Linked DNA regions of Macaca mulatta. The protein of the gene in region 1 purifies or fractionates together with the protein of each later gene. This does not show direct contact. Links are inferred from orthologs where the notes say so. Each region holds a gene or a part of one and is shown on either strand. Other genes may lie near its edges.

What was found.
Region 2: the proteins of MAP2K2 (region 1) and KSR1 purify together in Homo sapiens (affinity purification with mass spectrometry; 4 studies listed by BioGRID and IntAct, with this or other methods). This does not show direct contact. The link is inferred for Macaca mulatta from reciprocal best matches to the Homo sapiens genes MAP2K2 and KSR1.

Annotation. Positions count from the first base shown.
Region 1 is NC_133424.1:4,939,708-4,943,511, reverse strand, and holds part of MAP2K2 (dual specificity mitogen-activated protein kinase kinase 2), read left to right. Parts: exon of another isoform or gene 1-4; intron 5-307; coding exon 308-518; intron 519-3,804. UniProt on the Homo sapiens protein: Catalyzes the concomitant phosphorylation of a threonine and a tyrosine residue in a Thr-Glu-Tyr sequence located in MAP kinases. Activates the ERK1 and ERK2 MAP kinases.
Region 2 is NC_133421.1:36,150,488-36,154,779, reverse strand, and holds the start of KSR1 (kinase suppressor of Ras 1), read right to left. Parts: upstream 3,041-4,292; 5' UTR 2,843-3,040; coding exon 2,612-2,842; intron 370-2,611; exon of another isoform or gene 1-369.

The DNA.
Region 1 (3,804 bases):
AAAAGCAGATGGAGGCCTTTGAGCTGCGGCTTATCCTCGAGATCCTGAGGTCTGCTAGACTTGCTGAGACGGGATCAAGGCAGCATCCTCAGTTCCCGGGGAGCGGCCCTGGATTCTGGTCATTGGTGTGTCTGCTGAGTGTACACAGCATGGATCCTTCTTTCCTTCTACACCACAAACCCCTGAAGTGCAGGAATCCAGTCTGTGTCCTTCTGGGGGCCGGCGCGCCACGGCCACGCGGTAAACGGCCAGGTGGAAAGGTAGACTCTCCCTAGGTAGCTAACCCCTGCCCTGGGGGTCTCTGCAGGGCAAACCTGGTGGACCTGCAGAAGAAGCTGGAGGAGCTGGAACTTGACGAGCAGCAGAAGAAGCGTCTGGAAGCCTTTCTCACCCAGAAAGCCAAGGTCGGCGAACTCAAAGACGATGACTTCGAAAGGATCTCAGAGCTGGGCGCGGGCAACGGCGGGGTGGTCACCAAAGTCCAGCACAGACCCTCGGGCCTCATCATGGCCAGGAAGGTGAGCGCTGCGGGGTCGGAGGTTGGGGAGTGGTGGGGAAGGTTCCCCCTGGAAACAGGAGGGAGGTTGGGAAGGCAGCCGGGTCTCTGCATTCTGATTAGCTCCAGGCTCCATTCCTCATCCCCACCAGGGACTCTAGGTACTGAGAAAGGGCCCAGCTTCTGGGCAGATGGGAACGGTGCCAGCCACACACAGCTGTGCCCTCCGGTGGCTACCTTCTGCCCTGGAGGGCACTTGAAATCCACATTCGCAGAAAGCTAACAAGTGTGAATTTCAGGAATGTGAATGTGTTACGGTTCTCCAGAGAAACAAGCGATGAAGCGTGTGTGCGTTCGCGCCTGTGTGTACAGCCACGCACCTCATGGCGATGGCTCAGCCAATGACAGACCGCCTATGCAGCGGTGGTGACGTAAGATGATCGGGCCATGTCTTTGCCTTCTGTATGTTTATTTTTATTTATTTATTTATTTTTGAGACAGAGTCTCTCTGCTATCCAGGCTGGAGTGCAGTGGCACGATCTTGGCTCACTGCAATCTCCACCTCCTGGGTTCAAGGATTCTCTTGCCTCAGCCTCCCAAGTAGCTGGGATGACAGGCGGACACCACCGTGCCCAGCTAACTTTTTTGTGTTTTTAGTGGAGGCGGAGTGTCGCCATGTTGGCCAGGCTGGTCTGGAACTCCTGACCCCAGGTGATCCGCCCACCTCGGTTCTCTATATTTAGATAAACAGATGCTTATCAGCACCGCACCGTACAGAGTACAAGAGCCTGGGTGTAGAATGGGCTTTCCGGTGTTCACACAGCGACGACCTCGCCCAGGGAGGGATTTCTCAGTGTATCCCCGTCCTTAACGATACTTGACTGTATGTGTAGAGAGAGATTTATTCTAAGGAATTGGCTCACACAGTCCCTGGGCTGGTGGGTCTGAAATCTGCAGGACTGACCAGAGCCCCACGGAACAGCTGACGCTGCGGCTGAGATCCAGGCCCTCCTCTTCGGGGGCCTTGGGCGTGTTTTTTTTGGTTGTTTTTTTTTTCTCTTTTTTCCCCAAGACAGGGTCTCCCTCTGTCGCCCAGGCTAGAGTGCAGTGGTGCGATCATAGCTGACTGCAGACTCCGCCTCCTAGGCTCAAGCGATCCTCCCACCTCAGCATCCTGAGAGTAGCTGGGGCCACAGGTGCACGCCCGGCTAATTGTTTGTTTGTTTTGTAGAGACAGAGTCTCACTATGTTGCCCAAGCTGGTCTTAGACTCCTGGGCTCAAGTGATCCTCCTGCCTCAGCCTGCCAAGTAGCCAGGACTAAAGAGAACACCAGGCCTGAGCTCAGGCGATCCACCCGCCTCGGCCTCCCAAAGTGCTGGGATTACAGGCATGAGCCACTGTGCTTGACCTATATTCTTCTTTTTTTTTTTTTTTTTTTTTTCTTGGCTTACTGCAACCTCCACCTCCTGGGTTCAAGGGATTCTCCTGCCTCAGCCTCCTGAGTAGCTGGGATCACAGGTGTGCACCACCACACCCAGTTAATTTTTGTTTTTTTAGTAGAGATGGGGTTCACTGTGTTGGCCAGGCTGGTCTCGAACTCCTGACCTCAAGTGATCCTCTTGCCTCGGCCTCCCAAAGTGCTGGGATTACAGGCACGAGCCACCGTGCCTGGGCAGGCTTTTCCCTGAAGGCCTTCAGCCGATTGGCTGAGACTCACCCACTCTGGGAGGAGTAATCTGCTTTGCTCAGAGTCTGCCGATTTAAAGGTTAATCACATCTTAAAAACGTACCTTCCCAGCAACCTCTAGACTGGCGTTTGACGACGAGGCACCGTGGTCTCACCCAGGAGACGCATAAAGCTGACTGTCACCCCACTCTTTGAGAATTTGCAAGCCCTGGCGCTGACAGCCCCCGAGCTTAGTCATCCCGGGCTCCTGGGCCATGATGCAGCCTCTGCTCTGTGTTTGAGAAGAGTGCCCAGGGGATACAGGGAGGTTGTGACCACTCGGGGACAGCGGCTCTTAAACACATAAGCAGAGGACTTAGTGTTGACGGGGCGTTCAGCTCCTCACCTGTGTTCTTGCAGACATAGAATGCTGCCTCTTCCTGGAAGCCCACCATCCTGTAGTCCCCCAAACTGGGGGAACCTGACCGCACCCAGTCCTGTGGGTCCGCGCAGGTGGCAGCATTGCTGGGGGGCCCTGCCTTCCTCGGGAGCAGCGGCTCAGCTCCTGCGGGGATTTAGCTCTGCAGCTCTGTCTTCTGGCCTCTAGAGTGCCACCCTCCCTCCCTCCTGAAGTCTGCAGCCGCGGACTTGCTATTTCTGTCCCCGTGCTGCAGGCAGCCTCTTCCAAACCAGAGCAGCCTTGGAAAGCTCAGGTCCGCCTCCGCCCGAAGCACCGGGAGGAAAAAAGCAAGCTTGTGGTTGACAGAGCCACAGCAGGGCCTTGAGACAGAGTGCCAGTCCCCGTGTGTGCCAGGGACCCTCGGGCTTCTCAGGGAGCCTCCAGTGGTCCTTGATGGGCTGGGCAGTGGACATGAACCCAGTGCTTGCTGCATCAGCAGCTCCTGCTCCTGCTGACCGGCACAGGTGAAGACGGGCTCACCTGCAGCTTTACCACAGCCGGGAAAGGGAGGTCGGGGCCTTTAAACCTGAGGGCAGGCGTGGCTGGGCAGGCTCTGTGGTCTGGTGCATGGGGACGTCCCAGCGTCGGCTCTGGGGTTTGGTTCTGTCCTTCCGTCATGAAGCTGTCATTCACCTTGGGGAAGGCGGGGAAAGGGCACACAGGACTGTCGGTACTATTTTTGCAACTTCCTGTGCTTCTATAATTCTTTCAAAATTAGGTTTTCTTCTAAGCGCCTGCAGACTCGGGGGTGGGAGAGGATGCGTTGAGCGCGCGGGCTCAGCAGCTCTGGCTGCTATGCAGGTGGGACTGCGAGGGCTCCTTTCATCTCATCTTATTTATTTACTTATTTTTATTTTTATTTATTTATTTTTTTGAGACAGAGTCTCGCTCTGTCACCCAGACTGGAGTGCAGTGGCGTGATCTTGGCTCACTGCAACCTCCACCTCACAGGTTCAAGCGATTCTCCTGCCTCAGCCTCCTGAGTAGCTGGGATTACAGGTGCCCACCACCATGCCCAGCTACTTTTTGTATTTTTAGTAGAGACGAGGTTTCACCATGTTGGCCAGGCTGGTCTCGAACTCCCGACCTCAAGGATTCCACCCATCTTGGCCTCCCAGATTGTTGGGATTACAGGCGTGAGCCACTGCGCCTGGCCCAGTCTCAGTGTTTAAGGTCATGCT
Region 2 (4,292 bases), on another chromosome or scaffold:
TGGACGGCCCCACCCAGCTTGCTGAGATTGTTTCCTGGCTTGTGTCACCCGCCTGTATGAAATGAGAGGCAGCTGCAGAAGTACCTTTCCCTAAAATCCAGATTTACTGATCCATAAAGTAGGGGTTAAGTCTCCCTAGCGAGGGTCTAGTAGGGGTTGTTTCCCTAGTGGTGGCCTGTGCCATAAACGCTACTGGACCCTCCCTAGGGAAAGCTGCCAGGCAGACTCTTTTGGTAGTAACAGCATGGACTGACAGACAAAACGCTGCAGGTGTGAGCAGTCTCGTTCGTATTTTACGTACAGGGGAGCTTGAGATTCAGAAGTCATGGGACCTGCCTAAGGTCACACAGACAGAACCCAGGCCCAATATGAAAGCCATGGGGCTTCCTGTTCACCACGCTGCTCCTATGGCAAAGATTCTTATAATAAACTTAACCCCTATGTTATGGGTTCAGTAAATCTGTATTTTAGAACCATTCTTAGAGGGTTATTCTTAAACAGGGGTAGTATAAAAATAATCACAAACATTTGATTTCACCCAACCAAGTCTCATTCTCTAACCCAGAGAATTTCGAGCCTCCAGAGCCCTCAGAGATCCACTCCAGCCTCCTTGTTTTGCAGGTGAGGAGGCTGAGGCCTCTGGGATGAAGTGACTCATCCAAACTAGCTGGTGGCAGCCCCATGGAACTCGCTCCAGGGGTCTAAATTCCCATCCCCCAAAACAACCCAAGCCCTGCCTTTTCAGGAAGTGGGTGAACCCGAATCCACATCACGGTGGGAAGAGGAGGGAGCTGCAAATCCCCTGTGGGCCTTCGGATGAGTTCTCTGCCACCAGGGATGATTGTCTAAACAAACACTCAGGAGGGAAGCCACTGAATAAACCAGCTCCAAGACTTAAATAGCTGGATGCTCTACGGTGTCATGAACGCCACACCGCCATCAAAATGAGAGACTCTGGAAGTTAGGGTAGGACAAAAAGCCATTCCAGAGAATGCACAGCAAGTGGTTCTCCTATACATACTCTGGGAGCCAGGAGCACTTCAGAGCAACGTGGGGACAATCCCACAGAGGCCAACACAGAGAGCATTCTCCAAACCCAGTAACACCGCAGTCCAACCATGCACTCTGCCGGACAGCGACCCCCTCCTCCCAGAACTGAGCCTCACAGGCCCCCTATTGTGTCAGCTTAAAAACTGAACTTTGCTGGGCAAACACACTCAGCTGTGTTCAAAAAATCAGTTTCTCTCAATACTTGGAAAACTGCAGCATGCATGCAGAAAGGCCGGTTGTAGGGGGTTTTGTTTGTTTTTTAAGCAAAGCCTTGGTCAGTACAGCTTTAGCAACTGTAATAAAAAATAATAATACCCAGCACTGACTGTATTCTTCCAATGTCCTGTGGTTTTATAGCTTTTAAGAAAATAAAACTGAGGGAGAGGCACCCCCGAGCACTTGGGATCAAACAAGGATTCAGGCTTGTGGCATGCCTGGAGGAAGGATTGGTCTTGTAATAATTACCACAATCACAGAGGGCCTTATGACAGCTGGCAGAGGCAATTAGCAATAAGGGGCGGGGGGAGGGTTTAGGGGGAGGAGAAATTGAGGATCTAATAAAACAAAACATCCCCAGACCTGCAGGAGGCCAGATGTGGCAGGGCAAGATGGTGAGAGGTTCCTTGTTCAAGACGGGGCAGCTATTAACTGGTCTGACGTTTCACCGCCCCGTCCCTGGCCAAAATCACATTTGGAATCCACTAGTTGCCCTCATTGTGTATGGACAGGGTGCCCCAACAACCCTTGGACTGGTTTTTCCAAATCCTTCTAATACTTCCCAGCTATAATTTGAGAGAGGAAGGCCCGCATATCTTATTTCTTCTTTACACTCCAGGCTGTCTCCATCAGAACCCCTTAAACAGTGTCATCTTCCCACCAAAGGCTTGCTTCCCCAGCATAATCCTTCCTAAGCCAAAATCCAATCTTTGGGGGGAAGCAGGGGGAGTCGGCGGGTAATTATTAATACATTTTAAGCAGCGAGCCTCTGTGGCAACGTGAAAGGAAAGCACCAAACGCCTGAATAGCAAAAATGCAGTTTCAGCAACACTTTTTGAAAAGCGGCAGACAAGACCTGGGAGGAGAGGAAAGGAAGGGACAGGACGGCGTCTAGGGCTTGAGGGGAACAGGGGACGACAGGCCTGCGATCACGCTTCAGGGGAACCTCCTCCGTCACCCTGGCCCACGGGTGCTCGGCTCAGTCACACAGGGAAAAGTCCAGCTTGTGACTCAGTGGGACAACGAGTCCTGCGGCCCCACAAACTGCAAATGGGGTGGGGCGGAGAAGGGAGGAAAGGGGATGTCCGCGCGCAGCCCACTCCGCCCACGGGCCCCTCGAGCCTCTATCCCAGTTCCCACCACGCACCCGCCCCACAAATCCTGCCCAAGGTGAGGGCTGGTCCTGGGTCCTCCGGCTGCCGCATCAGCGAGTGCAGGAGCGAGGGGAAGCCTCCACGGGGGCGACGCGGGCTCAAGGATGCAACTCGGCCAGGAGTGAACTGGGGCCCGGAGGGAGGTGTCCGGGCCGCTTCTCGAGCCCAGCCCGGGTCCCCGACCCCCTTACCTCCAGGGTCCGGATCTCCTGCTGGGTGAGGTCGTTGGACACAGCGCACTTGGTGCGCAGCCCGCGCAGGCTGCCGATAGAGATGTCGATGAGCTTCTGGAGCTGCCCGCACTGCTGCAGCGCCCGGCTGGCCGCGGCCCCTGCGCCTCCCTCCGCGGCCGCCGCATCCCCCCCGCCACCGCCCTCCTTCTTCTCTCCCATCGCCGCCGCGCGCAGCGCCGCTCTATCCATGCCTCGGCATCGGGGCCGCGGCGGCCGAGGCGGGGAGCCCGGGGCGCGGGCGCCTCGGCAAGGAACCCCTGAGCCGGGAGAGATGGACCAGGAGCGCCCCTCGGCGCTGCCCGAGCCGGGACGCCGGTAGAGCCGGCCGCCGAGTCTACCGCTCCTGAGCTCCCAGCCGCTGCAGCAAAGCGAAAGCCGCGGCGATCCGACGGCTGCGGCTCCCGGAGCCTTTAAGCGGCGGCGGGGGCCGGGTCAGGACGGCCGGGCATGCTGGGACTTGTAGTCCACGCCGCACACCTGCCGCCGGCCCCCGCCCTCGGGGCCCGGGACAGCGCCCGTGCAGCCTTCCCAGCCCTTCTCTCCCCTCCCCTCCTGGCGGCCGCGGCGGTTCAGGCGGTGAGGGCGGGCCCCGACTGGGAGCCCCGGGTGGGGCTGCTCCGCGCCGGCTCCTCCCCTGGGCGCCGAGAGTCGAGGGAGCAGCCTCTCCCGATCCGCCTCCACCCTCCACCCGGCCTAGGAGCTTCCCGCGACCCCCGGATGGGGCGGCGCCCTCTGGACGCCCGGCGGGTGTACGTCCCGCAGTTCCTCAGCCGCAGCCCAGCCCTAGAAGATGGGGACCAGGGAGGTTCCAGGATTTGTATGTGGGTTTAGGGGCTGCCATCTAGTGGGAAGGGGCTTACAGCACTTCTCCTGTAACTGGCTCACAAAGCGCTCTGCTCTGGACTGCCTGCGCCAAAAGGATTGCTCAGGCTTGGAGAAAGACGAAGGGCTTTCTTCTGAACCACATTTACCTACCAAAATAAGTGTCCCATTCCTCCGCCATTCCCAACCCACCAAGTCAGCCCAGACACTGGGGACAGCACACTGAATTGTCGGTGGCTTCGGAGCAAGTGGCCAGGACTCAAATTCTGACTCCACCACTATCTAGGGTGAGACCTTGGGCACGTTCGATTTCCTGTGAATGCCCGAGTCTCCTCGTCAAATAACATTTTCATAGGTTTCCTATGAAGAAGGGTTAATACATGTACAGCACCTAGATTGATTACTGGCACATGTGGTCGCTGGATAAATGTTAGCAATTCTTACTATCTAACCTCAGATCTGAATGTAGCCCTGGACCCAAGTAGTGGCCATGGAGCAGTACAGTACTGCCAAGGACTGGTAGTCCTCTATCCTCTGTGCCTTTCTGTGCCTCCTAACCCAGCAATCAAGCCTCGCCCATCTGTTCACCCTCCTGTCTCATTAGTTCACCCCGTGTGTTCTATTATCTGGCAAAACTGAAAAACCAAGTCTCTGATCAAAGCTCCCACACCTTCATACTTTTAACATCTGTCAACCAGAAAAAAATGTCTCCCCCCTGAATTTTCTCTTGTAAGCTGCTTGATTGCAGAAGCCACTAGCTAGTGTATCATTGTACCCTCTTCATAGTGCCAGAAACAGTGATGGCACACAATAAAGG